4 linked regions of the Struthio camelus genome follow. The protein of the gene in region 2 purifies or fractionates together with the protein of the main gene of each other region. This does not show direct contact. Links are inferred from orthologs where the notes say so. Each region holds a gene or a part of one and is shown on either strand. Other genes may lie near its edges. The genes, in order: NOLC1, FBL, C1QBP and SNU13.

Region 1 (7,083 bases), on a different chromosome or scaffold from region 2:
CACACCCTTCCTCCTGGCCACGCTCCCCAACCTGCCTGAGGTTTTTACAGCAAAAATGTGCTAACACAGCTTTGGCCCTCACACACAATTTTGGAATAGACACCAACTCTTTGCTCAGACTTAACCAGCTGGATCTAAACAATAAGTAAAGAAAGCACGAGTTCTCAGTGTTATTCAGCTTCCATCGTCAAGAACTTTGGGTTGGTCCCAAGCAGTTGAAGCAGTTGATAAGTTGAAGTCTAAAGCATCCTGGCAAATCCTCCTCCTCCTCTCACACCAAGGAAAAGTTTACATAGACTTGTCTTGGGGAGACAAAAAGAGAGCCCCTCTCATCAAGCCATGTGCACTCCTCAGCCACTGCAGCACAGTCAACTGGAAAACTGCCCCATATACTGATATACTGATCTCAGTATACTGAGATCAGATCTCACAGCTGTTCGCACTGCTGGAGCTATTGTTCAAAACTGCAGTGCACTGATTTGAAGGGCAATTTCACTTGTTTGCTGGATAGGGAGATAGGACTGGCTCTGCTCTGCCTGTCTCTGCCGATGACTTTCAGGGCAGAGACACCTACTTGTCACTGCCACATGCCTGTAAAATGGGAAGCTCTCTTCTTCCCCCGAGTACTGTGAGATTTGATCTACCCTTTCTAAACATGCTGAGATTCTATAAAGGTAGCAAAAAAAAGAAATATGATCTACAAAAATCACACCCCATCTTTCAGCACTGTCCAAATCCTTAGCTTTTCAACCTCGCTTCCTATACTAATGGCTTCTTGTGAAGCCAAACTGAAATCAACAGACATTCCAGAGACTTTAGCAAATAGGAGGGAGGCCAAAGCCCCTTCACATCTTACTATATTAGGCTGGCCTAAGTGAAAGATGTACATAGCTTACAATGAATTAAAAACAAACTGAAGAAAGACAGGTAGTCTTTCATGCTCGATTGCCCATAACTGACTGTATACATCTTAATCTTCCTTCTTCTGGTTTGCAGCAACGTTTGAACATAGTTATACTTAATGCATTTTTCTCAAGGGTCTGTCTTACCCTGTCCAAAGCAAAGGACTAGCTTGCTCTTTCCAGAACTTCTGCAAACCTAGGCAAGTAGTGCAGCAACATTGCTAGGTACTTTTGAGAGCGATTAAAGAAAGGATCCAGCAAGCGTTTGAGTACCCATGCCACCTCTTCACTTGTTATTGGTCACGAAAAAGTTGGAAGAGCAAAGCTCTCTCATGTGAATGCTCACTCATGAGGTGAAAGATTGCTCTTCCGGGGGTCTTAATGAGAGAGATATGCCAGCCAAGAGGAAGGAATGAAAAGGAACAGAAACAGAGAAACAGACAGAAGCAAGCAGTGGCAAAAGTCAGTCAAACTTGGTTTGATGTAGCAGACCCCACTACTCCCACTAGGGTCTCCCACTACTGCCTTGGGAAATCCAGAACAAAATATGAGCTTTCTTTGTATGGTACCGCTCTACCTTGTCATCTGGAGAGTTATAGGCACAACCCAGGGGAGCACACCTGGATAGTTACATCTCTGAACAGAAGCACTCATCTAGCATGCGTGAACAGACCTAAATAGTAAAGGCCTGCAAGGAGAGGGAGATGCTTACTAACCAGGATGAGAAGCAAAGTGAGCCTGTGAAGCAAGTGTATTCTAAGCACAGCCAGTAATGCATTTCCCCAATTTCTCACAGCAGCAAAGGCTGCATCTCTTCATTTCTGCCTGAGACAACAAGGCACAGAACTTGTGCTGAGCTTTGCAGGTGAAGCTTGTGGCTACCTCTTACTGCTCAAAATAAATGGAAGCTATAAGAGCTCAGAGATATACTGGTTCCTGGGAGCAGTTGCCTTTCTGCAGCACAGACCTCAGTTATTCTAGGCACAATAGCTGCAGACCAGACGTGGGCGCCTGAGAACAGAGTATTCTCCCTGACAAAAATCAAAGATTGCACAAGCGCTGCAGGGTCTGAGAGTGCACATATTCAACAAGCCCTCAGTTGAGCACCCCTTCTCTACACCACAGGCAACAGCATCTTTACAGGATAACAGAAGCTCACATAAAAGTCAACCACTGCACGAGCTGCTTTTTTTCCCAGCACTGCAAAAGTGGCGTCTTCCCCAGACACCACAGATGTCTCTTGCTGGGCACACTACCTGCCCAAGCACACGTTCAAAAAGTACTACCTACTTGCATGCAAGAGGCACAGGACCACATGTAACTGGGCACAGCAGCATCTGGAGACAGCTAAGAGCAAAGGAATAGAGGAACATCAAGAGTACAATAGTACCCACCGACTGCTGCTTCTTTATCTCTAGCAGCTCTAACGCAGAACTTTCAGAACAGTGCTCTTTCTCATCTCCCTTTGTCCTTAGGAGGTTTTGCTGTATGCTCTATTGAAGGGGAGGGAGGGGGAAGAGAAGGAAGGGGTGGGGGGAAGCCCCATTACAAAGGTAAAGGGAACAGAGCGCTACGTTTATTAACGTATACCTTAAACAAAAGGGAAAGAACTTCAGTGAAGGAGAGATGACTAATTTAAAGTCATATTGTTAGACAGCAGCTGAATGAAATCTCTTCCTTGTCAGGGCCCTGAGTGCACTAACAGGCTTTAATTGCCCTGATCAGCCTCACCGGGGACTTCCACCCCTCACCCTGCTCATATGCCATGGAGCTCCATTTAAGCTCAGGCCTGAGCTTTCTGTGCTTGCTTACCTGACCTATTTTGCAGCTGTACCTGTTTCAAGTCCTGCCTCCAATCCTACTTCCTGGACTCTCCTTGAACTTATGCTGCAGGTAGCCTTATTCCCAGTCATTTCTCTAGCCCCATCTTGTAGATGGTGCACATTGTAGCTTTTGCTCCAGATCTGCTTCTGGCCCTACCTCCCTTTGCTCCTGAAGGGATTCCTTGGCGAAGTCCTAGACTTCATTCGCTGCCCACCTTGCTTGGGACTGACGGTGGATCCTGTTGCCAGCACCCTGCTCTGTTCAGATTCTGTGGTAGTGGGCCCTGTTGGTGAGGGCTCTGTCTGCACCAGGGTCTCCCTCAGCTCCTGGTTTATCCTCCTTTGTGGAGTGGCTCTGCTCTTTTTTCTCTGTGATGCTCCCCTTGAAGTGAACTATAACCAGAAGCAGACTCACACGTGGGAGAGGGGGAAAGGAAGGGAATGGGTTTAAGTTAACTGAAATATTCCCTCTTCCAGGGTCACACGCACACTCCAAGTTCCTTTGTCAGACTTGTCCTGGGTTCCCATGCCTTCTTCCTCTCTGCTGCAGACCTCTGATAGAATCTGGCTTCTGGAACAGTTCAACCAGCACACAGCCTACTCCCTGCTGTCCTCCTTAGGATCTTGTCTGGCAGGTCATTCCCTGCTCTCTTCTTTCTCCAAGGTCTCATAGCCCTGCTGACTGCAAGAGAGAAAACGGACACTGTTCTGGCTAAAGGTGAACCCTTATCTCTGAGGGCTCTAACTCACAGGTCCAAGTCAATCACCATCTGTAGAGTCCTTCTTGTCTTGTTCCTCCTACCCAGCCAAAATTACTGCCTGTCTTGCTGCCTTTACGTACAGGCATCGCTCTGAACACCTGATAGCAGAAAGTCAGCTCCATCTGCCTTCCTAGCCCCTCAGCCTAAGCCTGCTTTTGCACCGCAAACAGCACCCCGCTCCTGCCTGTGACCCACGCAGGGCCTGAGCACCAGCCCCGAGCCCTGAGCGGGGCCTTCCCAAAGCTCCTCGCGCCCAGGGCACGGCCACAGCGGGCAGATCCCTCCTTTGCAGAGCTTCTGCGAGCCCTTCCCGCGCACCCCCGCAAGCAAATCTCTCCTCCGGGCTCTCGCCAGCGCGCATCGACGTCTGCGCGCCCCCAGGCTCACCGGAGCGGCCCTCCCCTCGCCCGCCTCTCCGGCTACGTTCCGTCCCCCCCACCCCCGCATATCGCTCCCGAGCCGCTCCTCTCGCAGCCTGCCCTCCCCCGGGGCGGGCCCAGCGCTCCCGACAGTCCCGCCAAGATGGCGCCGGAACTTCACCGCCCTTCCGAGGGTGGGGGGAGGAGGGAGAGGCGGTGCGCGCGCCTGCGCGGGCGGGCTGGTGGATGTACGTACGTACGTACGTGCGCGCGTGCGCGCTGGCGGCACGTGGCGGCGGTGCAGCATGGCGGCGTGGCGCGCGGTGCCCAGTGACCTGTTCCCCTTCGTGCTCGCCTTCCTGCGCGAGAACCGCTTCGAGGGGGCGGCGCGCGCCTTCGCCAGGGAGGCGGGAGTGGTGAGCGGCGCGCGGGCTGCCGGCCGTTGCGGCCGTTGGGGCGGCGGCCGGGCCGGGCCCCGGCGCGGGCTGCGCGGCCTGGGCGGCGGCGGCGGCGGCGCCGGCGGGGGGCGCGCCCTGAGGACAGGGGCCGCTCGGGAGGCGGCGGGGACCTCGGCGGACCGCGGCGCCGCCGAGCCGCGACCGGCTGAGACGCGGGTATCCAGCGGCGCCGTGCCCCGGTTTGCTTCTTGGCTTTTAATGTGAGCGTGTTGGTTGCACAACCGGTGCGCTCTCCTGGCTGAGTTTGCTGTAGGAGGCAGCTGTTCGTCCGCAAGCGGGTCGCAAGCGGTTCAGGAGTTACCCTGCGGTGTTCTCCGTCAGAGCGCTAACAGTCGACAAACTTTCTGTTTGTATTCCTACAGAAAGACCAGGATCCCAATGCTGCCTCTCTCTTAGACGTCTTTAGTTACTGGCTGAAGTAAGTTTGCTGCCTCCTGAAAGATTTGCTGAAGGGTGCTTTGCTTATCTACCCTGGGGACACACGGCTTGCAAAACTGAGCTTTCTTCGGCACTGATCTGCAGTCTTGCTGATAGCTTGTTTGGAGAAAAAGCTTTTAAGCCTGTGGATTAAGTGCTTCAGTGAAAAGTCATGTATGCGGTGATGCTGTTGTAGATGCAACTTGGATGGTGGTGATGGTACAGGGCAATCATAACATCAAAAAATAGTGGCTAAGACTAGTGTATGGGTTTTAATATTTGAATAGTAACTTTTATAGCAGTTTTTGTTCTTTTAGACCCGTCAGTAGCCTTAGGTTTGGTGCTGTAACAAAGAATAAAATAGAATGCTGGAGAAGTGATTGTTCCCGAGGATAACATTTTACTTTCTCAAGGCTGGGAGGACATAAAGTCAGCAGAAACTTTCTTTGGAGCCAAGTCTTTCTCTTTGTAGGTCTCCTGCTGCCAAAAAGAGAAAAAGTGTTCCCAATGGATCTCGTGCAAAGAGGAAATCTTCCTCAAGCAGTGATGACAGCTCCAGTGAGGAAGATGAAACACCCCCAGCCAAGAAACCAGGTAAGATTTGTAAAAGTTCTTAGGGCAGATGTGCATTATGTTCGAAAATTTCTTCGTGATGTGGATATAGAGCTCAGTTTCTGCTCATCTGAAGTCTTTAAGTTGCTGTCAAGGATTGGCTTTATATTGAGTGATCTTGGTTTTGGTAGATCTTCTGCCCATGACTCCCATCTGCTTTTGTAGCCTGTGTTCCTCCTCCTTGAGGGTGATTTCTCCGTCCAGTTGTAATTGAAGTAGATGGAGTTTTGAATCTGCTAGAAGCCTTTAATGATTTGATTTGTCTCTGTTGACTCAGGCTGGTGGAGGCATTAGGCTGTAATGAATTCTGAAGGTGCTACTGAAGTAGCAAGTTCATTATATTATCTATATTGCGATTCTGCTGTCTAAATACTTACTGTTGTGATATCCAGGCAGAGCTACTCTCATCCACTTCAGTGCTTTCAAAGTCTTGTTGATTTAAATATTGAGTGAAATTGTTTGAATGCATATAAATTGGGCTAATACTTGGAGAAGGAGGTACTCCGTGATTTTTTCTTCCTTCTGTTTCCCTGGGACTCTCAGTTCCTGTGGAATCCTTAAAGAATAGCTCCTTGTCCTACTGTTGTAGGACAACTGATTCAGGGTATATTCAGGGTACATGTGCTTGCGCGTTTCTTAAAATACACGTAATTTGACAAAACTTATACTTGACTTGGCGTTATCAGGCTTCTTTGTGTATTGATGGGCATCGTGACCTATTTGAGGCAGGACACTTGTGGAAGAGAGACTTCAGAGAAATGGCAAGCACTGTTAATCAGTTGCAGGCTTACTCTGCTGCTTGTGTGAGGTTCCTACCCTCCTTTCTCAAGCCTGTGTCCTAGTGCTGTCTAGAGATAAGTCCCTCCGCTGCATGTTGGCAGGTGGTGAGCTGTGTTTCCCCTTTTTTAATCTGGAATTGCTTTTATGCCCTGCTTGAACCACTGCGTACTCAACTTGACGTGCATCTAGCAGCAGATTTGTGGGAAAAGAGTAGTAGACAGGAAGAGGGAGACACCCAGAAATAAAACCGGTCTTTAATTCAACCTAACCTGAAGGTGAATTTGAACTGAGGCCTGGTTTTGCTTTGAAAAGGGAGGTCAGAAATATACTTTGAGGTGAAATGATTTATTAATGATGTGCAGCAAAAGAAGCAGTCAGTAACCAGAAAGGAGTAGACTTGGCTAAAACAAGTTAAGCAATGAGTCTGGAAGCTCAAAACAGCATTGCGCTGGTTCTCTTTGGAAGTCTGCACTTGTTAGGCAGTTTTTTTAAGCTGAAAACTGTGCAGGCCCAGTTAATCTCCTCTCAGTTTGTGGGGACACTCTGTACATGGGGTGAAGGTTTTGGTGATAACGTCTGCACTTAAACATACGTGTGACAAGGACTGAATGAAGCTGGAATTTTTTTATTCCTTTTGGAGTCTTCTGTCACACTCCGCTTGAGAAGCTAAGGCCTGAACTTCAGCTGTGATTTAATAACCTTCATTTATCTTTTTGCCCTGACACACAGTAGTCCAGGATATATGTATATGAAAGTTGTGAATTCACTTATCAGTGTGTGCTGTCCCTTATTTGCAGCTAAAATAACAGCTGTGCCCAAGGTGAAAGCATCTCCACCAGCCAAGAAGGCAGAGAGCAGCAGTGAGGACTCCAGCGATGATTCAGACTCTGAGGAGGAAAAGAAGCCAGAGAAGGTCAGCTTTTCTTTCCAGCCTCTTTCACGCAAGTTTGACAGTGATGGATAAAAGTAAA
Region 2 (7,456 bases):
CCCCCGTCCCCCCCAACCGCCTCCATCCCCCCCAACTGCCCCACGGCGCCCCCCCAACCGCCCCACGGCGCCCCCCAAAACCACCCCCGTCCTCCCCAAACCGCCCCCTTTTCCCCCAAACGTGCTGCTGCCCGCCCGGACGCCTGGGCCCCCGGTACCTTCGTGCCGATGGGGCTCCACCGTCACCTTCTTGCCGCCCTTGAAGCCACCGCGACCCCCCCGGCCGCCGCCGCGGCCCCCCCGGCCGGGCCCTCCTCTTCCTCGGCCACCGCCGAAACCGCCGCGGCCGCCCCCACCGGGGGACTTGAACCCGCCACCTGCGGGGCCAAGGCCAGCGGCGCTGACGAGGCCCCTAACGAGGACGGGGACTGGGGAGCGACTGGGAGGACTGGGAAGGGATAGGGAAGCCACTGGGTGGACTGGGAAGGGGAGAGAGAGCGACTGGGCGGACTGGGAAGGGATGGGGAAGCCACTGGGCGGACTGGGAAGGGGAGAGGGAGCGACTGGGCGGACTGGGAAGGGGAGAGGGAGCGACTGGGCGGACTGGGAAGGGGAGAGGGAGCGACTGGGCGGACTGGGAAGGGGAGAGGGAGCGACTGGGCGGACTGGGAAGGGGAGAGGGAGCGACTGGGCGGACTGGGAAGGGGAGAGGGAGCGACTGGGCGGACTGGGAAGGGGAGAGGGAGCGACTGGGCGGACTGGGAAGGGGAGAGGGAGCGACTGGGCGGACTGGGAAGACTGAGAGGGAGACAGGGAAGTCACTGGGTGGACTGGGAAGGGACGGGAAAGCGACCAAGAGGACTGGGAAGACTGGGAAGGGTCAGGAAAGCGGCTGGGAGGGGACGGCGGAGTGACTGGGAGCTGATGGGGGAGCCACTGGGCGGACTGGGAAACGATGGGAAAGCAACTGGGAGGGGATGGGGGAGCAACTGGGCGGACTGGGAGGGGGCGGTGGAGCTCCTGGGTGCACTGGGAAGGGGTGGGGGAGCCCCATTGGGCAGACTGGGAGTGGACCGGGGAATGACTGGGCAGACTGGGAAAGGATGGGGAAGTGACTGAGCAGACTGGGAAGGGACGGGGGAGCAACTGGGCAGACTGGGACAGCAAGAAGCAGAAAGTAGGCAGACTGGGATGGAACTAGTGCCCAACTGGGCAGACTGGGAATGGGACCGGTGAGCTACTGGGCAGACTGGGACAGGGCAGGAGAGCTACTGGGCAGACTAGGATGAACGCAGAGAGGAACTGGGCAGACTGGGAATGGGACTGGGGAGCTACTGGGCAGATTGGGACAGGGCAGGAGAGCTACTGGGCAGACTGGACTGAGAGCAGAGAGGAACTGGGCAGATTGGGAATGGGACTGGGGAGCTACTGGGTAGACTGGGGTGGGATGGAGCAGCACTAGGAGGGGACAAGGGAGCTGCTGGGCGGACTGGGACAGGGTGGGAAAGCTACTGGGCAGACTGGGATGAACGCAGAGAGGAACTGGGCAGCTACTGGGTGGACTGGGACGGGGCCCCGAGCCCCACTGGGCGGACTGGGACAGTGCGGGGAGCTTCGTGCCCGGCTCTGGCGTCCCCAGGGCCGGCAGCGCCGGTCATACTGGGAGCACTGGTGGTACTGGGAGGGGGCGACACTCACCTCGGCCCCCCCGGAAGCCGCCGCGTCCCCCGCGGTCCCCGAAGCCGCCGCCGCGGCCCCCCCGGGGGCTGAACCCTGTCGGAGACGGGCGCTCAAACTGGGCCAACTGGGAGCACTGGGCAGCAGGCAGAGGCCGCCCCAGTTCCCTCCCAGTCTGCCCAGTTCCCCCCCAGTCTCTTTATATCCCTCCCGGTCCCCTCCTGTCTCCCAGCATCCCCCCCCAGCATCCCCAATCACCTCCAGTTTGCTCCCAGTCTGCCCAGTTCCCTCCCAGTTGCTCTAATTTCCTTCCCAGTCTCCTTCTGTCTCCCAGTATTCCCCCCCCCCAGTACCCCCAATCGCTTCCAGTCCCTCCCAGTATGCCCAGTAGCCCCCAGGCCCTCAAATGTCCCCTTAGCCCCCCTAGCATCTCCCAGTCCATTCCCACCTCTCCCAGTTCCCCCCCCCAGTTTCCTCCCAGTGTCCCCCAGTTGCCTCCCTGTCCCTCCCAGCATCTCCCAAAGTCCCCCAGTCCTCTCCCAGTGCCCCCCAGTGTCCCCCAGCCCCTCCCAGTGTCCCCTAGTTCCCTCCTAGCACCTTCCAGTACCCCCCCAAGTTCCCTCCCAGTGCCCACCAGTCCTTTCCAGCCTCTCCCAACACCACCAGTCTCTCCCAGTGTCCTCTAGCCCCATCCTAGGGTCTCCCTCCCAGTCTCTCCCAGTACCCCCAGCTCCCTCCCAGTTGCCTCCCTGTCCCCCCCAGCTCCCTCCCAGTCTCTCCCAAAGCCCCCAGTCTCTCCCAGTCCCTCCCAGTGCTCTCTAGCCTCATCCTAGGGTCTCCCAATATCCCCAGTCCCTCCCAGTACCCCCCCAGTTCCCTCCCAATGTCTCCCAGTTCCCTCCCAGGGCTCCCCATCCCCCTCCCAGTTGCTTCCGAGCCCTCCCAGTCCCTCTCAGTGCCCCCAGCTCCCTCCCAGTTGCCCCCACTCCCCCCAGTTGCCTCCTTGTCCCGCCTAATCTCTCCCAGTTGCCCTCAGTCTCTCCCAGTTGCCCCCAGTCTCTCCCAGTCCCTCCCAATACCCCCCAGTTCCCTCCCAATGTCTCCCAGTTCCCTCCCAGGGCTCCCCATCCCCCTCCCAGTTGCTTCCGAGCCCTCCCAGTCCCTCCCAGTGCCCCCTGCTCCCTCCCAGTTGCCCCCAGTCCTCCCCAGTTGCCTCCCAGTTGCCCTCTCAGTCCCTTCCAGGCCCTCTCAGTCGCCCCCAGCCCCTCCTAAATGCCCCTCAGTGCCTCCCAGTCCCTCCCAGTCGCCCCAGTCCCTCCCAGTTCCCCCCCCCCCCCACCTGGCCGCATCCCGCCGCTGCTCCACGCGGGGTCGCACGCGCCGCTCTCGGGGCCCCGGAACCGGAAGCGCCTGCGCGGCGCTGACGTCACGGCGCGGCTCCACCGCCCCCCTCCGTTCCGGAGTCCCGCGCATGCGCCGCGGCCCCCTCCGACGCCGCGCGGGGCCGGGCGGAAGTGCCCACACCGCTCCCAAAGAGGGAGGGGGCACGGGGGGGGGGGGAGAGGTTGGTGGCTCTGGGGGGTATTTTGGGGCAGAAATGGGGGGTTTGGGGGTCCTGGGAGGTATTCTGGGGCAGAAATGGGGGATTTGGTGCTTCTGGGGGGTCCTGGGAGGTATTTTGGGGCAGAAATGGGGGATTTGGGGAGTTCTGGGGGATCCTGGGAGGTGTTTTGGGGCAGAAATGGGGGATTTGGGGGTCCTGGGGGGTATTTTGGGGCAGAAAAGGGGGATTTGGGGGGTTCTGAGGGATCCTAGGAATGTTTTTTGGGGCAGAAATGGGGGATTTGGGGGTCCTGGGAGGTGTTTTGGGGCAGAAATGGGGGATTTGGGGGTCCTGGGGGGTATTTTGGGGCAGAAATGGGGGTTCTGGGGGGTCCTGGGAGGTGTTTTGGGGCAGAAATGGGGGATCTGGGGGGTTCTGGGGGGTCCTGGGAGGTATTTTTGGGCAGAAATGGGGGATTTGGGGGTCCTGGGGGGTATTCTGGGGCAGAAATGGGGGTTCTGGGGGGTCCTGGGAGGTGTTTTGGGGCAGAAATGGGGGATTTGGGGGTCCTGGGGGGTATTTTGGGGCAGAAATGGGGGTTCTGGGGGGTCCTGGGAGGTGTTTTGGGGCAGAAATGGGGGATCTGGGGGGTCCTGGGAGGTATTTTGGGGCAGAAAAGGGGGATTTGGGGGGTTCTGGGGGGATCTAGGATGTGGTTTTGGGCACCAATGGAGGTTCTGGGGGTTCCTAGGAGGTATTTTGGGGCAAGATTGGGGGATTTGGGGGTCCTAGGGGGTCCTGGGAGGTGTTTTGGGGCAGAAATGGGGGTTCTGGGGGGTCCTGGGAGGTGTTTTGGGGCAGAAAAGGGGGATTTGGGGGTTCTGAGAGGTATTTTGGGGCAGGAGTGGGGGATTTGGGGGTTCTGGGGGGGTCCTAGGAGGTATTTTGGGACAGAAATGGGGGATCTGGGGGGTTCTGGGGGGTCTTGGGAGGTGTTTTGGGACAGAAATGGGGGATTTGGGGGGTCTGGGGGGTACTGGAAGGAGTTTTGGGGTAGGAATGGGGGATTTGGGGGTCCCCGGGGGAGGGGGCTTTTAGGGCCCCTCTCGGCGCCCACTTCCCCCCCGGCGGCCGGCGCCGCTCTGTCCTCCCGCCTCTTCTCTATGGCCGCCGCGGTCCTCCTCGCCGCTCCCCCTCCCTGCCCGGCCGCCTCTCTAGCCGCCTCATCTCTGTGGCCCCGCCCCTTGAGGGCCGCTAGAGTGGGGGGGGACCGCGCCACTTCCGGCGCCGCTCTGCGCTTTCGCGACGTCTCGCTGGTTCCGGTGCGAGGGCGGCGGCGGTGAAAGTCACTTTGAGGGAGCGGCGCGACTCGGTGAGGGGGGCGGGGGGCACTGGGAGGGAACTGGGAGCACTGGGAGGGCTCGGGGGGGGTGCTGGGAGCGCTGGGAAGCGGGGGGATCCGGGGCTACTGGGAGCACTGGGAAAGGGCGGGACTGGGAGGCCGGTGGGGGGGGGGAACTGGGAGCACTGGGAAATGGCGGGAGTGAGGTTACTGGGAGCACTGGGGGGGCACTGGGAAAGGGGGGGCAGCTAACTGGGAGTGCTGGGAGGGGGAGACTCGGTGTTACTGGGAGGAGTGACTCAGGCTTACTGGGAGGAGTGACTCAGGCTTACTGGGAGGAGTGACTCAGGCTTACTGGGAGGAGTGACTCAGGCTTACTGGGAGCACTGGGGAGGGGGGAACCCAGGCTTACTGGGAGCACTGGGAAGGGGGGGACCCAGGCTTACTGGGAGCACTGGGGAGGGGGGAACCCAGGCTTACTGGGAGGAGTGACTCAGGCTTACTGGGAAGGGGGGGACCTAGGCTTACTGGGAGCACTGGGAGGAATGACTCAGGCTTACTGGGAGCACTGGGAAGGGGGGGACTTAGTCTTACTGGGAGCAGTGATTCAGGCTTACTGGGAGGACTGGGAAAGGAGGAACCCAGGCTTACTGGGAGGAGTGACTCAGGCTTACTGGGAGCACTGGGGAGGGGGAACCCAGGCTTACTGGGAGGGCACTGGGCGCACTGGGATCTCTCCCTGCCCAGCTCCAGCCCTGCAGCGTTTCGGGGAGCCCCCGTTAGCTCCAGCCCTAACGAGCGCCCCCCTGCTAACGAGCCTCCTAACGACCCCTGTGAATGAAGCTTGCTAGCATGCTCCGCTAACGAACCCCATTAACGACCCCCCTTAGCGAACCCCCCACTAATGAACCCTGTTAATGAGCCCCCTGCTAACAAACCTCACTAACGATCGCTGTTAATGAGCCCTGCTAACGACCCCCCCCAAGAACTCCCTCTAACAAATCGCCCCGTAACACCTATTTGCTAACGAACCCCATTAATGAGCCTCCTAGTTAATGAACGTTGCTAATTAGCCCCCCCCCGACTAATAAACTACCTGCTAACGAGCCCCCCCACTAATGAACCCCCTGCTAATGAATCCTGATAGCACCTCCACTGCTAATGCCCCTTGTTAACGAACCCTAATAAGAAGCTATCATCCTTGCTAACGAACCCTGTTAATGAGCCCCCCAATAACGAGCCCCACTAACGAACCCTGTTAGCATCTCGTTGCTAACGAACCCTGTTAATGAGCCTCCCAATAACGAGCCCCACTAATGAATCCTGTTAGCATCTCCTTGCTAACGAACCTTGTTAATGAGCCCCCCAATAACGAGCCCCGCTAATGAATCCTGTTAGCATCTCCTTGCTAACGAACCTTGTTAATGAGCCCCCCAATAACGAGCCCCGCTAATGAATCCTGCTGGCATCTCCTTGCTAACGAACCCCGTTAACGAGTCCCCCCCGATAACGAACCCCGCTCCCGCCTCTCTGCTAACACACCCCACTAACGCCCCCCGCCGCCGCTTGCAAGCCCCGTTAACGAACCCCGCTAACGAGCTCCCCTTGCTAAGGCCCCCCCCCGGCTAACGACCCCCCTCCGCTAACGAACCCCCCGCTAACGAGCTCTCGTTCCCCCCCCCCCCCCCCGCAGCGATGGCGGACGACATCGAGGCCAAGCTGCAGCGCTACCGGACGGCGCCGTTCGACAGCCGCTTCCCCAACCAGAACCAGACCAGGAACTGCTGGCAGAACTACGTGGGTAGGGACGCCTGGGCCCCTCGGACGCCTGGGCCCCTTCCGGGGGCGGGGGGCAGGAGGCCCGGACGCCGGGGCCCCGCTGGGGATGGGGGAGGCTCCGCGGGCGCCGCTTCCGCACCCGGAAGCGGTTCGAAACCAGCTGTCGGAACTAGGTGGGTAGGGACGCCTGGGCCCCCCTTTCGCCCCGGACGCCTGGGCCCCTTTGGGAGGGGGGTTTGAGGGGCTCCTGGAAGCCGAGGTGTCTCTCCCCGGACGCCTGGGCCCCCCGGACGCCTGGGCCCCTTTGGGAGGGGGGTTAGAGGGGCTCCCAGAAGCCGAGGTGTCTCTCCCCGGACGCCTGGGCCCCCTTTGGGAGGGGGGTTTGAGGGGCTCCTGGAAGCCGAGGTGTCTCTCCCCGGACGCCTGGGCCCCTTTGGGAGGGGGGTTTGAGGGGCTCCTGGAAGCCGAGGTGTCTCTCCCCGGACGCCTGGGCCCCCCAGACGCCTGGGCCCCTTTGGGAGAGGGGTTAGAGGGGCTCCCGGAAGCCGAGGTGTCTCTCCCCGGACGCCTGGGCCCCCCGGACGCCTGGGCCCCTTTGGGAGGGGGGTTAGAGGGGCTCCTGGAAGCCGAGGTGTCTCTCCCCGGACGCCTGGGCCCCCCGGACGCCTGGGCCCCTTTGGGAGGGGGGTTAGAGGGGCTCCCGGAAGCCGAGGTGTCTCTCCCCGGACGCCTGGGCCCCTTTGGGAGGGGGGTTAGAGGGGCTCCCGGAAACTGGGGTGTCTCTCCCCGGACGCCTGGGCCCCCCGGACGCCTGGGCCCCTTTGGGAGGGGGGTTAGAGGGGCTCCCGGAAACTGGGGTGTCTCTCCCCGGACGCCTGGGCCCCCCGGACGCCTGGGCCCCTTTGGGAGGGGGGTTAGAGGGGCTCCCAGAAGCCGGGGTGTCTCTCCCCGGACGCCTGGGCCCCCCGGACGCCTGGGCCCCTTTGGGAGGGGGGTTAGAGGGGCTCCCGGAAGCCGAGGTGTCTCTCCCCGGACGCCTGGGCCCCTTGTGGAGGGGGGTTAGAGGGGCTCCCGGAAGCCGGGGTGTCTCTCCCCGGACGCCTGGGCCCCCCGGACGCCTGGGCCCCTTTGGGAGGGGGGTTAGAGGGGCTCCCGGAAGCCGAGGTGTCTCTCCC
Region 3 (6,891 bases), on a different chromosome or scaffold from region 2:
TTTTTTCTTTTCTTTTTTTTTTTTTTTTTGGCTAATCCCTACTACTCTTCCACCTTTGTGACACCTCAGCACCCATGAGATTTGCAAGTTACTTATACATTGTATTAAATGTATCCTTTAGGCCATTCTTGTTTACCTATCTCAATTTGCCATGCAGTTAAAGAATCCATACCTCCTTTCTCCAATTCAATAAGCTAGCCTATATGTAGCTGATTAGAAAAGCAAGGTCAGGATATAAGGAATGTAATGGAACATCTCCCCAGAGCTTATTCTTGCAGGCTCTTAAAGCCTTTTTTTGTGTTAAACAAGAGAAGCAAGAGAAGACTGCATTTTCTGCAGATTAAGAAAACCAGCAGACTGTTAGAGCAGTTAGATTCAACAGTGGCACAATTACACTGTGGTCAAGCAGGAGATGTGCAGTGAGCCACAGGCCAGAGTTAGCCGTAGCTGACACCTGAGCAGTTCAATACTCACCTCATCTTCAGGATAATGGCAGTCAAGAACAAGGGTCTGTTTTGTATCATCTTTTATTACTTCTACAACAAAGTTTGGAGTTGATGTAATATCAGGCTACGTAAAAGGTAAGAAAGAAATTCACATCAGCATTGGAGTCTGAACGGGAGCTAAAGCAGCCAAGGTACAGCCCAGCAACACAGCCCATCCAGCACCCAGGTTGTTCCCAGTCACCCTCTTTCTTGAGGGCCTCTGGAGTTGTCCTCGCCAAGGCAGCCTCCTCCAACCTCACCCACGGCCCTTCAGCCCCTTCTCTATTCTGCATCTGGTCACGTTGGTAGAACGATCACTAACAACCCAGAGAGCCTGCAACTCACCCAGATTCCTCCCCCTGTAAATTGTTTTGAGAGCAGGAGTTGCTCTCGCCAGCGCTCCTTCACGTGGGACATTTGGCAGTGCACAAAGACTTCCTATGCACACGCACGGACCAAGCGCACTGTGTGTTCTCAGTAGATAAGGGCATGCCCAGGGATGGGGAGCAACGTACAGTCTCCCCAGCCCGCCCAGCTGAGTGTACTAAGCAGTAATGCACTGGAATAAGCACTAACGTTCAAAAAACGCAGAGTAACTGCTATAAACCACAGACATGCAGTACAGTTTCATTCCCTACTTGTTCAACCAATGTCACTGTAGATTAGGCATCTGCCTCAAATCACATTGCTCGCTTAGTTTTACCAGTACTTTTACTCACAGTCTTATGAAAAAGGAGCATGCGACACTCTTCTAATCAACAAAACCATGCAAACAACGTCATGTGAGTAGTTTTGCATTTTGTTGGCATGGCATACCAGTACCATTAGTTACACTAGCTAAGCAAAGTACAAAAGGCAGTATTTATTGTAGCAGGTTACAGAGGCAGCCATAAAGTCAAATATCTCCGTTCCTTTCATCTCTCCTCATACAGAACCCTCTCACCCTCTCTGTCTTCCTGCTACAGAGAGAAGAGGGTCACAGCCAAAGAACAGGAAATTGAGAAAAATCTGCGTTATGTTATCTTTATGCTCCCAAATATCAAATGAGAGAAAAAGCATTAAGGGCAAACAGCTAACTTTCCTGTGTGCTGACATCCATAATAAAGTGTACATAAAGACTATGTTTACCTCCTGCTCATCAGGTTTCTGCTCTTCTTGTGTTTCTTCTTCTTCAAGAGATGGCGGAATGCTGTTATTGATGTTGAACGTAACCGTTATCCTTCAAAAGAACCATAAGCAATTATTTTAAACACAATAAAGAAAATACTTACTGTATCTCTCGTATTTGAAACTTTTGTAGCAGGGACAGCACTACAGCCATTGAATTCACACCTCATGAACGAGATTCAAAGCATATTACATGTTCTGTTCTATTTGTCCTTCCCTCATGTGGTATGTATTGCAGCTTAGAGTTTAAGATGCACGCTCTAATAAAACAGGTGGGCGTTCTTCAAGTTTTATTAGACTGATTTCATGTTTTTAATGGAGGGAGATCTCACAAATCTTTGCAACACACAAAACAAAGCCAACTGGTAAGAAAAACACCTTGGGCCCAGGATGGTAAAATAACGAGCCTATGCAACACCCAGAGTTTGCGCAGCCTGGATAGACAGTGGCACAAGCAACACGAACACACAGAAGAATTGTGATTACTGCTGTCAAGCACACACGCTTGCCCAGATGAATCCTTAGAAACGCCAAGCACCCGTTTGCACTTACTTCTCCCCAGCTATTTTCCGGACCAGCTTGGCCTCTGTGCCATGGACTTCCAGCTCCCACCCTCCAGATATCTTGGGCAGGGATTTATGTTTCTGGATCTTCTTCTCCTCTTTTATTTCATCCGTCAGAAAGGCTGCAAACGCTTTGTCTCCTTAGGAGGCAGCAATAAGGCGAGTGAATAAGAAAGGAAAAAAGCAAGAAACCCCTCGAGAGCGGGCAGGGGCTGCAGATCGCCCCTTCCCCCGCGGCCACCGCGGGAGACGGTGGCGGGGGGGGGGGGGGCAGCACGGCCCGGCGGGGGCCGAGGCCGCTCGTGTCGCACCCCCCCCGCCCGCCACGTGCGGGCCGGGACACGCGCGACCACGTGGGGGGGGGGGAGGGCGCACGTGGCCGCTCGCGCCCCCGCCCCCCTCACGGGGGCCCTGCCCCCCCCCCCAGGGGGCCGTCGCCCTCCCAGAGCGGCTCCCCCCGCCCCCCTCGCCCCTCCTGCCGGGGGGGGTCGCTCCCTCCCCTCGCCGCCGCCCCGGCTCACCCTCGGTGTGGAGGCCGCCGCAGCCGCAGGAGACGCCGCCGGCCGAGCCCCGCCGCGGGCGCAGCAGCGCCCTCCGCCACCCGCCGCCGCCCAGCTGCCACAGGGAGCGCGCCAGCGGGGCGGCGGCGGGCGGCGGCAGGAGGGCGCGGGGGCAGGAGGGGGCGGCGAGGAGGAGAAGGGGGCGGCGGGGCTGGTGGCGGGGCGGCGGCGGGCGCAGGGCGGCGGCGGCGGCGGGGCGCAGGGCGCGGGCGAGCAGCATGGCGAGGCCGGCAGCGGAGGACACCGCCTGGCCCGGAAGTGCCGCGAGTGCTTCCGGCGCAGCGCGCTCCGCCCCCTTCCCGTCCTGCCTCGCGGCAGCGCAGCGGCGAGCGCGCCCCGCCCCGAGCCCGGCGCCGCGGGTTCGAGTCCCGCCCCCGGCAGCTGCGGAGTCCCGCCCGGAAACGCGCTGCTTATGCAAACAGAAGGCGGTAGAGCAGGGCTCGGTCCAGCTTTGCGTTTACCTCCGCTTTACAGACAAGGAAGTGGAAAACCTGAAGTGACTTGCTTACAGCGGTTGCAGAGGGACGCCTGTCAAGGGGGCAGCTCACTACTCTGATGGGCTACAAAGAGCAACAATACACAAGAGCAGCACACGCACCACGTCTACGTCAATATTACATGTATATACATCAATATTTACCACCTCTCCACCCCATGCACTCGGCGGGTGAGGCTCTGGCGCTGCTGAAAGGGTCACAGAAAAGCTCCAGGCGCGTGGAAACGACGCTGAAGCTTCAACACTGACCGCGACAAGAAAAAAGCATCGTTGAGCGCTGAAAGCTTTATCCCTGCATATCCTCCCGGCTCTTTCTTAGAAGAATAGCCAGCTTTCTGGCAAGGCCTCAGAAAGGGGAAACAAATGATTTTTTTTGGCCTTTAGCAATAAATATTTTAGAAGGGGGCGCGACCAAGGCAAACTGCCTCCTGGCTTAAAGCCCGGGCTTTGTCTCCAAGTTGGCACTCTTGTCCCCTATTGACCACAGAATCACAGACTGGTTGAGGTTGGAAGGGGCCTCTGGAGATCATCTAGTCCAACCGCCCTGCTCAGGCAGGGTCCTCTAGAGCGTATTGCCCAGGATCACATCCAGACGGGTTTTGAATATCTCCAGCGAAGGAGACTCCACCACCTCTCTGGGCAACCTGTTCCAATGCTCTGACCAGACCCACAAAAGGCCAATTAGTGCTTGCAGCAAGGCTCTGGCTGGAGAGGTCCGGTATCATGGCTTCAAAGGACCAGGATTTTTGCTCCCCGCTCGTGTTTGAGTCCTGCCTCCGCAATAACTGGGCCCCTCCTGTACGCAAAGCCCAGACTCACCAACCCCTGCTAAGGTTTTATCTTTAAAATCCAAAGTGCTTCAGTGACACCGAAACCCCGGACGGCGTCAAGACAGGACACTCGCCCCCGGACTTCAAGCACTACTATGAGGACTTGTACCGAAACGTCCTGCCATCATTTCTGTTAGCTATGCAGCTTTCCCGCCTCACAAAACGACACCCGGCACTTGGATTTTAGCCATCGCTCTTTATTGTGGGAAAAATATACAAATCAGTTACTTCTAAATCAGTTCCCCATCCCCTCCCTTAAACAGTCTGCTTAATTAGACTGCCCAAACCAAATGTGCTTTTACTCCATTTTCCCCTACAGATGCAGTCTGTATAAACAAGGAAGAGTTACGTACAGTGCTTTGATAATTCCCTGCAGTTTGTGCGAGTGAGAACAATTGAAATAACAGCACACTCTTGAAACACGAATCAAAACCGATAGCTGCTCTTACATACAAAAGTGGCAACGGCTGCCTGTGCCCCGCACACTGGTGTGTTTCTGACCACCAAGGAACAACACCGCAAGAGGCACAACACGGACGCGAGCCCACTTCCACGGGACCCCCGCAAACTTTCAGTATCACCCTTTCCGGGAACAGGCTGAGAGACAAGACCGTTCTTGGTACACTGGATCCCTATCTACTCTCTTTGGAGACAGCAATTTGCAGACCAGCAAAAGTGAAATTCCATTTTTTTTTTATTTTTAAGAGGTATTTGACCCAGTTTTCAAAGAGAGAACCAAGGTAAGTCGAAATCAGGAGCCCAAAGAGAAGGCATATTACAATGTGCTGGGTAACTGTGATGTGTGCAACCAGAAAGGACATTTTGCTAACTGGAAAGTGCAGCTTGTTCCCACAGATCCCACGAGCAAAGCCAGCAGTTTATTTACTCCCCAAGCAAATGGAGTGAGTAAGGGCTTGCCAATATGACTGCATCCCTGAGCAGTCCCACTAAAATGCCATGAGCTTTTATTTTTGTTTTAAGTTGATGCTTGAAGAACGCAAGAACTGAACACCACTTAAGTCAAAGGGTGAAAATCCCGTCACAGCCCATGTTAGCTAACCTCACTGTATTATATAATGACACCGTATTTACAGAACGGCTTTCTCTCCCACTCTATAACAAATCTGCTTTAGTGCAACTCATCCAAAAATCTGTATAAACTAATACACTGTGTCAACAGACTCTGTTGAAACTGGAAGTCACCTCTCCCAGAGAGGTTATTTTAGAACTACTTAGGGCATCATTTAAAAACAACTTAAATTTTTTCTCCACCCACACACAGTCATAATGTAACCAACCCATTTTCCTTCACACTACAGAACAAGTTTTACCTTTGGAGTGGTCTTAGTTCCTTAATTACAGTATTTAAAAAGAGGGTTAAGTTTCTTATTGCCACTTCTCTCCAATAAGAAGAAAAAAAGATAGTTAGATGCCAAAGGGATATGGAAAAATAAAAATAAATACTAATGGCAGATCTATGGTTCTTGACAAACAACGCCAAGCTCCAAACTTCTAATGGAGAGTCAAAGTATAATTGGGGCCTGGGGGGGCGGAAGGGGGAAAGAAGCACCGGTGTCAGAGCAGAAGAAAGGTTTGATGATTCCAGTGCCTTTAAAGGAAGTCTAAGAGTCTAAACTACATCTTCGTACTTGGTTTGCTGAGTTCGCCTCAAACTAGCTTGACTAGCTATTGTGGACGGTGTGCCAACTCCAAAGCCAGAAGTGTCCAGATACAGAGCGGGGAAGGACGTAAGAGTTTGCTGCTAAAACGCTGGATCCTTCCCAGGAGTGAGTCCCTCCTCCTGTTTTAAGAAGTTTGGCTCTTCAGAGGAAGAAAATCGCTCTAGACAGAGCAGATTGCATCTTTCCACGTGGAACCGTGGGGCCAAATATTGAGAATCTACAGCTGCCTCCTCCACGTGCATCAGACACAGAGGAATTGCATGCCCTAACAGCAAAAGGGAGAACAAAAGCAACATCAAATGCACAGGTGGCTGGACAGCCCCTCCGAGAAAATACTACCAGCCCCTGGGACACAGACACAGGCAATGAAGACCTGTCCAAGCAGGTGACGCCATTACTAGCTTTCAGCTGGTCCCAAATGACGTGGTGAATATGACATGCAGGCAGGAAGATGTTTAATGAGGTAAAAGACAGTAGCACCTCCCTTCTAGAAATAGTTTAAAAAAGGCATTTTTTCCCTGTATGTAGAGATTTAAAACTTTTTTCTCCTTTTTTTGCCAATAAAACCTGCTAAGGATACAAGCACAATCATCAAAAAATACCAAGTCTGCTCAGAAGAGCTCTTAGGATTTCATTTCTTCGTATACAAGCTCGTTAAAGTTTAGTAAGTGTTAAAAACTGGAATCTGATACCAGCTCCCTTTCCCCCCCCCCAACACAGATTTATCACTCTCACACACACACACGCGTGCACACAGAGTACTTGTTATGTTTCCCTTTTACAGATTAACTGCTATAAAGGATGATTGTTCTAAGCCATGGAGACTTGTGAGGTCTGGCTCTCACAGAGAAGCCATTTTTCCTCTAAGGTTTTTACCCGATTTACAAGGCAAAGCTCTACCATTCCCATACATTCATTACAAAACAAAAAATAGCCTCATTAGGTGAGCCTAAAAATCCTGGTCCTGTTAGCCCCAGGCCTGCAGGTCAGTTCTTGGCTGTTCTGAGCTTCCTGCGGAAATAGTCAGGGGCTGCATCATACAGCCAGTCCGCATCCACCACACAGAGATCCCGCATGTAGCACTTGTTGGTGTGAAGCAGCCCGTTGT
Region 4 (7,937 bases), on a different chromosome or scaffold from region 2:
GGAACAGGTCCAAGGCACTGCTGTCTTCCACAGTATGCAACATCCCTAAAAGATAAACAGCAATCAATTGTGGAACTCATTCCTAATTGTGATCATCAGTGCTGTAATGCCTTCTTGTAAAAAGAGCTGCAAATCCTTTTAGAACTGTTTTGTTTTTCCCCTGCTTCACATGACACCAACCTGACTTTGTCAAAGGAAGGGGGATGCTCTCAGGGAGGATCACAAAAGATGTCTCCACAAGCAAGGCACAGGGCGATTAAAACATTCAGCTGGGGCTCCATCTTACATTCTGGCACCAAATGCATCCTTGGTTCATTCAAGCTTTATCCATAATTTATGTATTATTACATATACCCTAAACTTGGACTGGGAGCCCAACTGCTCTAGGAGGTATAGCAAGTACACTAAAACCCAAAGCTATCCCCAAACCATTCAACTGTAAAGTCCTTAAAAGAGAGAGACAGGATTATTATTTAAAAATAGGCAAGAGCATTGAAATGCAAACACAACTCCCGGCTTCTGAGGTATTTTGTGTTAGGGTCATACAACATAGGATTGGACTGGTCATAAGCACTGCTCCATCCACATCTATATAGGATCATGTACGCAGACAGTGCAAACAAGAGAACTAAACCTGCAAAAAGGCTCTGTTTCTAACCTAGCTCCGTTTCCAACACATGCACAGCACAGTTTGTCCAACCCAACTGGGAAAACACTGTTTGAATTATTCAGTGTGTCAAGACATGGGAAGGGACTTGTAAGTCACTCCCCCTCCCCCCAAAGAATAAGAAACATCTGTGATGTGCAAATGAGATCTGGGAATTCAGGGAATCCAATATATTTACTCTTTGAAGGTTCTTGCATTCATACCCTCCATCTTTCTCTTCCTGCCTTGCTGTTTCTTCATTTAGACCGCTATTCCTTCTCTGTCAAGAGTTTAGTCAACATTTCAAAGACCTTTCCCACAGCTAGGCAAACAGAAACCACTAAGATATGTTTGGGACTACAGAGACTGTGGTTGGAAAGGCACTTTCTGACATCCCTCTGAACACTCTATTCTGTTGTGAGGCTGACCTCCAGAAAGAAGTGGGTAATAGAGCCCTACAGCCACAAGAATTTGTACAGATATAAAGTGATGGTGTAAAAAAACACCACGTAGGTAAGTATTTTGCACATTTGATATTAAATCCCACAATATCTTTTCAAGCTCACACTTTCATTTCTGTACCAATCTTCATGTAACGCTATAGTTCAGCAAGATGAAAAAGCACTGAGGTGTGACAGCAGAGTGGAAGGCGTTCTGGGAAGAGCAATAAGCGAGAGCGCTCCATCCAGCAAGACTTTAAAGACAAGCTATGATACTTAGGAAAAGTGCAAGAGCTTTATTAAAATGCTAATTCTGCTCCTTGGTTAATAAGGAAATTAATTAACCTATTCTAATCAAATGGCAGCTCCACAGGGAATATAATACACCTAACATGGAAAGGTGGGAGCACAGAAGTAGTTATTAGTAGTCTCAATATTCTTTTTTTTTAACCCGGAGAAACCTCACATTTCTTCATCCATTCAAAAGCAGATGAGAACTGCCCTCTCTCTGCTACTGTATTAGGCCACGAGGGAGCTCTTACCAAAGAGAGTTTCTATCAAATGAACACAAAGCCCTTCATCTGGTGCCAGCAGCTGGACGACCGGCAGCGCCTGCCAGGCCAAGGCATCCCGGAGACGGGAGAGCATGTGTTTCTTACGCACCAACTACAGATCAGAGACAAGCCATTAGCGCTTAGGGCCACGCAAAGCTGCCGCTCGCACCATCCTAGGGGCAAGAGCGTCCGGACCTTACAGCACGTCTGGGCCCAAGGGCTTAGCACCAAGATACACCCAGCCACCTCCGAGCCCCGAATCCGAAGGAGGAGATGGAAAAGCCAGGGAAGCAGGGTGGGGTGGGGTAGCCCTCTCTGTGGGGCCAGCACTGAGGCTGAAGGCTGTGAGCGGCCAACGCTCCGCGGCTGGGGGAGGCCTGGCGGGAGGCTCTCAGCGGCCAGCCCGGCCCAGCGCAGGCAGAGGTGTGTCCCCCCTCCTCCACCATCACCTCCCGGGGGGAGGGGGGGGGCGGCGAGGGCGCTGCCCACCGAGGCGCCGCCGTCGCCCAAGGTCTCCACAGCGCAGGCGAGGCAGAGCGGCGGGCGGAGCGGCAGGGCCCAGCGCGCGCCGTGGCGGCCGGACAGCCTCGCGCACGCCGCCGCCATCGCCCAACGGCTGCCACCGCCAACGGCCGCCGCGCGGGCGGCGTGCGCATGCGCGGGGGCGCCTGTTTGGGGGGGGGCGGGGCGGCGGCCGTTGCCGTGCGACGCCTAGTGAGCGTTATGCCTCCCCGGGCGCCGCGGGTCTCTGCGCAGGTAGAAGGACCTGCAGCAGGACAGGCTGGGGGTTGACCTGCTGGAAAGCAGCTCTGCGGAGAAGGGCCTGGGAGCCCTGGTGGACAACAAGTTAAGCATGAGCCAGCAATGTGCCCTTGTGGCCAAGAAGGTCAATGGGATCCTGGGGGCCATCAGGAAGAGCATTGACAGCAGGTCGAGGGAGGTAGTCCTCCCCCTCTACTCAGCCCTGGGGAGGCCTCCCCTGGAGTGCTGTGTCCAGTTCTGGGCTCCCCAGTGCAAGAGAGACACGGCACTACTGGAGAGAGTCCAGCGGAGGGCTGCAAAGATGATGAGGGGACTGGAACATCTCTCCTCTGAAGAAAGGCTGCGAGAGCTGGGCCTGTTCAGCCTGGAGAAAAGAAGGCTCGGGGGGATCTCATCAATGTCTACAAGTATCTGAAGGGAGGGTGTCAAGAGGATGGGGCCAGACTCTTCTCCGTGGTGCCCAGCGACAGGACAACAGGCAACGGGCACAAACCAAAACACAGGAAGTTCTGTCTGAATCAGAGGAAAAACTTCTTTCCTGTGAGGGTGACAGAGCCCTGGAACAGGTTGCCCAGGGAGGTAGTGGAGTCTCCTTCACTGGAGATATTCAAAACCCACCTGGGCACGATCCTGGGCAATGTGCTCTAGAGGATCTTGCTTGAGCAGGGAGGTTGGACTAGATGATCTCCAGAGGTCCCTTCCAATCTCAACCATTCTGTGATTCTTTGAAAGCCTGGTGGCGCTGCCCCACTGCCTGCCAGGAGCATGTTACCTGCAGGACGCGGGCAAGGGGGGGGGGGAATGCGCGTGCGGTGTCGCCCCCTTGAAGTGGGTGCAGAAAGGGGAGCAGCAGGGGTCCCGCTAGGGTCAGAGAGGGGGGCGCAGCAGCAGTTTGGGAGTGGACGTTCCCCATGCGCTGTGGTACAGGGACAGGTGGGGTAGGGCCTGCGCGGGACCAGATGGCAGCACCAGGGAAATAAAATACCCGCAGGGATGGGAGTAGCAGGGATAGAAAGAGTGTGGAAGAAGAAAAATGGTGTGAAAAGAGGAGAGGGGAGATGAGAGCAGAGCCAGGAAAGCCAGGAAACGGACTGGAGGGAGAGTCCAGAGTCAGAGCCCCTGTTGTAAGGGTGCGCAGGGGAGAACAAGGGGAAAGGTGGCAGGAGACCAAAAGAGCAAGAAAACCCTGAGCAGTGTCCTCTGGTTGCATGGGCACCTTCTGAGTGCAAGGCATGGCTCAACCTCTCCTCTGGTACCCTTTCATCCACGTGTGAGCCCTCAGCCCTTAGACCCCTTCCTTTTCCTTTTCCCCTGGTTGTCCCCTGTCGTGTTTCTATTTCACTTAGCTCCTTCCTCTCCCAAGAGGGCTTAATACTTTGTAGGGCCTGCCTAAAAGAAGGAGAAAATTTTCGTCCTTTACAGAGGTGGTCCCTCCACTGCAAACAATATCAAAATGAATTGGTTGTGTGTGTGTTAGAACCTTAAACTGGTACAGTCTATATGCAGTGTAGAATAGTAGGGAAAGTTAGCTTTCCTCAGCATCAAAGCCCCTTTAAAACGTAAACATCTGGGAGATCTCTATATCCAAGGATAGATGCTCAGGAATACGCTCACACCATATTCACAAAACTGCTAACAAGGAGACATGTACCCGTACAATATGGGCTGTCACCCCTATCTACAGAGCCTTGTCATTTAGTAATAATGTTAATCATAACATGCCGCTGGTCGGTATGAGCACCTGTGGAAATTGGTAAATAGCCCTTAGACTTTCAGCTTTATTTGGCAGAGGAAAAATGAAGAACGAGACATGATTTCTCAGTACCCTTCCATTTATATTTTACATTACAATATACATTACTGTAGAGTCTGGGTCGAAATGATGCTTTACGCATCCCCACAATTCCCTGGAGAAAGAAGTCTGTACTGTCATCCTCATTTTCAGAGATGAAGAACTGAAGCACAGAGAAGTCCTGATGGGCCAGGAGCAGACAAGCAGTCTCCCACTGAGGAGATGTGTAGCTGTAGTTAGTACCTCTCCAAAGTTGAGCAACTCTGCCTTTAGCTTTAGATATAGTTGAACTTTTCATGACTTCATTTTGGGTAATTAAGTCAAACACTTTATCCTCTTCTGCACTTAGAGTGGAACAAAGCTAATAAAGGTGGAATATAAGTGGGAAGAAAATAAATCTCAGAAAAAGCATGAGTATGTCTCTGTGTGCTGTAAATTGAACAACTCCCTGTCTCACGTAGTACTGTATGATGCAGAATTGTCTGCATACTGGTGTATTATGTGTCTGGGCAGGAATAGACCAGCCGGCAGGGAGCAGGAAGCCATCTCAGCTCGGCAGAACCCGGAGCTGTCTGGTGCGCGCGGTGCTGCTGTGCTTCCTGCGTATCCTTAAACCGGCAACCCCCCAGCCTCCACACCGGGAGCGTATCTGCAGTCACTCGGCGTTGGGGCACCTCTTATTTTTCACGCGCAGGTGGCCAACTAAGCGTCATTTGTATGCACGTTCTTGGGGTCGGAGGGCGGGGGGCCTGCAGACGAAACACGCTTGCGCCTGAGACAACGAGCAGACGTTTACCCGCCGCTGACGCCGTCGCGGAGCGCTCCCGCGCCTAGCGCCCGGCCTTGGTTTTCCCGTGGCGCCGACCCCACGGCTCAGCCCCCGCCCCGCGGCGCCGCCCCTTCCCGCCCCCCGGGCTCACCCGCACCTCACTTCCGCTGGCGACGCGTTTCTCCTCCGCCCGGCAGCGCGCTAACCTCTTCTTCCCCCCCCCTCCTCCTCCTCCTCCTCCGTGAAGCTTTCGGGCCGAGAGGACCGACGCGGACGCGTGCGGCGCGGCCATGGTGAGCGGGGCGGCGGGGGGCGCTCCCGAGCCCCCCCCCCCCACGAGGGGCCGTCGGGCTGGCCGCCTTCCCCCCGTCGGCAGCCCCGCTGCCTCCCCGGCGCTGGCGGGGGAAGCACGCGGCGGCGGGGCCGCCCCCACGCTGCCGAGCGGGGCGCGGCGGGGGAGGCCGCGCTTGCCGCGGGGGGGCTGCTGCACGCGCGCGGGCCGCTTTAACACGCGCGAGCGGGTGGCGGTAACTCGCGCGGCGTCTGCAGCATGGGGGCTGGGCGCTCTCCCACGCGTGGAGAGAGCGGGGGGGGGGGGGGCTGGCGCTCCGTGCCGTGGCCCGGGCCGGGAGACCCGGCGCCCGCCCTGTCCCCGGCTCTGCTGGCTCCGCGGAAGCAGAAGCATGTGCTCCCTGTGCGGAAGAGCAGCTTGGGGGCAGTGCCCTAGCTCCCCGTTAGGGCTGGCGGCAGGAGATCGCAGCCGCGGGACGCTGGAGCACTCCCTTCTAGACACTAATCGTGTTTAAGTGGTCAGCTTTTGAATGCGATTGAAAACAATTCCAGTTCCGCCAGTACTAGTTATTAATGCCTGTTATTACCATTCCAATATGCTGTTGATGTTAAAATCTAGAAGCTGTTTGTAATTTGCAGAAGTAAATCCGATACCTTACTCTTCTCAAGCTTTCTTTAAAATTAAGGTCTAAACTTGTTAAATTGTTGCTGGCGGCAACTTGCTCTGAAACACTTCACTTATATAGTATCTGGGGTAGCACATGCTTGAAGACTGCTCCTGGGTCACTGCTGCTAGATTACAGGATTGAAATTGTCCAGCGTTATGTGGCCCAGCAGTGGGGGCAGAGGTGCCGTTTCGTTTGAACATGAGAAATGAAATGCAATGGGATTTTTGGTGTACGTGCTGAGGAGATGAGAATAGTAAGCTGAGTTGACCCCAGCAGTTGATAAGTGTGATAGACTTAAGGCCTATGTAGCGTTGTTCAGAACAAAGCCTCCTTTGCTCCTTGTGTAATACTCGTCTCTTTTTCTCTAGAGCGAGGCAGAAGTGAATCCCAAAGCTTACCCACTGGCTGATGCACAGCTCACCAAAACACTACTGGATCTTGTGCAGCAATCCTGCAACTACAAGCAGCTACGTAAGGGAGCCAATGAAGGTGAGACCTGCCTGTTACGAAGTATGCTAGAGTTGCTTGAATTATCAAAAGAGCTTTGAGAAGCTGTGGCTGGAGGTTTGTCTTTTCTCTCCAGGTGTGGGCCACTAATTTTACATAGATCTTGGCTAATGCAAATATGCCTTGCTTTCCTTCTCCCCTTTGCCTGCTTAGGGAATAGTCAGGGACAGAATTCAACGGTAACGTTTTCAACCTTTATATACAGTTCTGGAGGATGCTCAAACTGTACTCCTGGTGTACTGTGTTCATGTATACTTTAGTGGTGAGGCACTGGGATTACCCGATGTCTAGTTAGTTTAGAATTATAAAATAATTTGGGTTTGAAAGGACCTGTGAAGGTCTCTGGTGCAATCTGTCCAGAGAAGGCTTTCTTTAAAGCTGGATCAGGTTGCTCAGAGCCTTGTCTAGTCAAGTTTTTAAAAAATCTCTAAGGATGAAGACTCCACAATCTCTCTGGGCCCCTGTCCTAGGGGGTTCTGTCCTGTATTACTCTCAACGGTGGAATTTTTTTCCTTATATCCCATCAGAATTTCCATGAGGCAACAGTCACAGACTGCAACTTGTCCTTTCACTTTGCACCCATGAGGATAGTCTGGCTCTATGCCCTTTAGGTAGTAGAAGATGGCAATGACATCCCTCCACACCTTGGCCTTCTCTTCTCTAGGCTAAACAAACCCAGATTCCTCAGTATCTCCTTGTCCGTTGTGTGCCCCGACCATTTTAGCTGTCCTGTGCTGGACTCGCTCTGCTTGTTGATCTCCCCCCTACACTTGAGGGCAAGGCTGAACCCAGTATTCCACATGCAGCTCGGAGTGCTGCGCATGGGGAATGATCCCTTCCCTGGACCTGCTGACTGTTTTGAAGGTCAGCTTTCATCTCTGCGCTGCTGACTGCCGCTCTGTTTAGTCTGGACTTCTTTCATGGCCCTGGAGCTGCCATTTTCCTTGAGCTGTCCTCATGCTACCACTGGATTTCCCGCTTGCTCATGCAAATTTCAACATCTATTAATCTTGCTTTTCATTAATGTGCTTTATAGAAAGCCCTAGACTTAATCTTAAGTTTCTTTTGCAGCCACCAAAACACTGAACCGAGGAATAGCAGAATTCATTGTGATGGCTGCAGATGCTGAGCCCTTGGAGATCATCCTACACCTTCCACTTCTCTGCGAGGACAAGAACGTGCCCTATGTCTTTGTGCGCTCCAAGCAGGCCCTGGGCCGGGCATGTGGTGTCTCTCGGCCTGTCATTGCCTGTTCGATCACCATCAAGGAGGGATCACAGCTAAAGCCTCAGATCCAGTCTGTCCAGCAAGCTATAGAAAGACTTTTGGTCTAAATGCCCATGAGCTTAAGTTTGTGTGGAATAGGACAAGCTGGAGTTGGGGGAAATAATGTTTAGCTGTAGTTGATGAGGTAATAGTTTTGATATCAATGTTTCATTTCAAAACACCTTTTTTTTTTTATTTGTTTAATAGTGACTTAATTCTGAAAGTGTTTCTGCCTCTTCTCC

What was found.
Region 1: the proteins of FBL (region 2) and NOLC1 fractionate together in Homo sapiens (co-fractionation; 3 studies listed by BioGRID, with this or other methods). This does not show direct contact. The link is inferred for Struthio camelus from reciprocal best matches to the Homo sapiens genes FBL and NOLC1.
Region 3: the proteins of FBL (region 2) and C1QBP purify together in Homo sapiens (affinity purification with mass spectrometry; 4 studies listed by BioGRID and IntAct, counting the BioPlex papers as one, with this or other methods). This does not show direct contact. The link is inferred for Struthio camelus from reciprocal best matches to the Homo sapiens genes FBL and C1QBP.
Region 4: the proteins of FBL (region 2) and SNU13 purify together in Homo sapiens (affinity purification with mass spectrometry; 5 studies listed by BioGRID and IntAct, with this or other methods). This does not show direct contact. The link is inferred for Struthio camelus from reciprocal best matches to the Homo sapiens genes FBL and SNU13.

Annotation. Positions count from the first base shown.
Region 1 is NC_090948.1:23,817,558-23,824,640, reverse strand, and holds the start of NOLC1 (nucleolar and coiled-body phosphoprotein 1), read left to right. Parts: upstream 1-4,078; 5' UTR 4,079-4,150; coding exon 4,151-4,261; intron 4,262-4,665; coding exon 4,666-4,721; intron 4,722-5,192; coding exon 5,193-5,314; intron 5,315-6,909; coding exon 6,910-7,025; intron 7,026-7,083. UniProt on the Homo sapiens protein: Nucleolar protein that acts as a regulator of RNA polymerase I by connecting RNA polymerase I with enzymes responsible for ribosomal processing and modification.
Region 2 is NC_090974.1:162,868-170,323, forward strand, and holds the start of FBL (rRNA 2'-O-methyltransferase fibrillarin), read right to left. Parts: upstream 3,018-7,456; 5' UTR 2,967-3,017; coding exon 2,957-2,966; intron 1,714-2,956; coding exon 1,639-1,713; intron 318-1,638; coding exon 159-317; intron 1-158. Other genes in the region: COX6B1 (cytochrome c oxidase subunit 6B1), read left to right, coding at 6,198-6,303.
Region 3 is NC_090957.1:13,521,517-13,528,407, reverse strand, and holds the start of C1QBP (complement component 1 Q subcomponent-binding protein, mitochondrial), read right to left. Parts: upstream 3,017-6,891; 5' UTR 2,996-3,016; coding exon 2,737-2,995; intron 2,356-2,736; coding exon 2,205-2,355; intron 1,705-2,204; coding exon 1,614-1,704; intron 571-1,613; coding exon 475-570; intron 1-474. Other genes in the region: ATP-dependent RNA helicase DHX33, read right to left, coding at 6,770-6,891.
Region 4 is NC_090942.1:56,644,087-56,652,023, forward strand, and holds the start of SNU13 (NHP2-like protein 1), read left to right. Parts: upstream 1-4,923; 5' UTR 4,924-5,253; coding exon 5,254-5,256; intron 5,257-6,290; coding exon 6,291-6,411; intron 6,412-7,500; coding exon 7,501-7,763; 3' UTR 7,764-7,937. Other genes in the region: MEI1 (meiosis inhibitor protein 1), read right to left, coding at 1-45, 1,629-1,752, 2,130-2,246.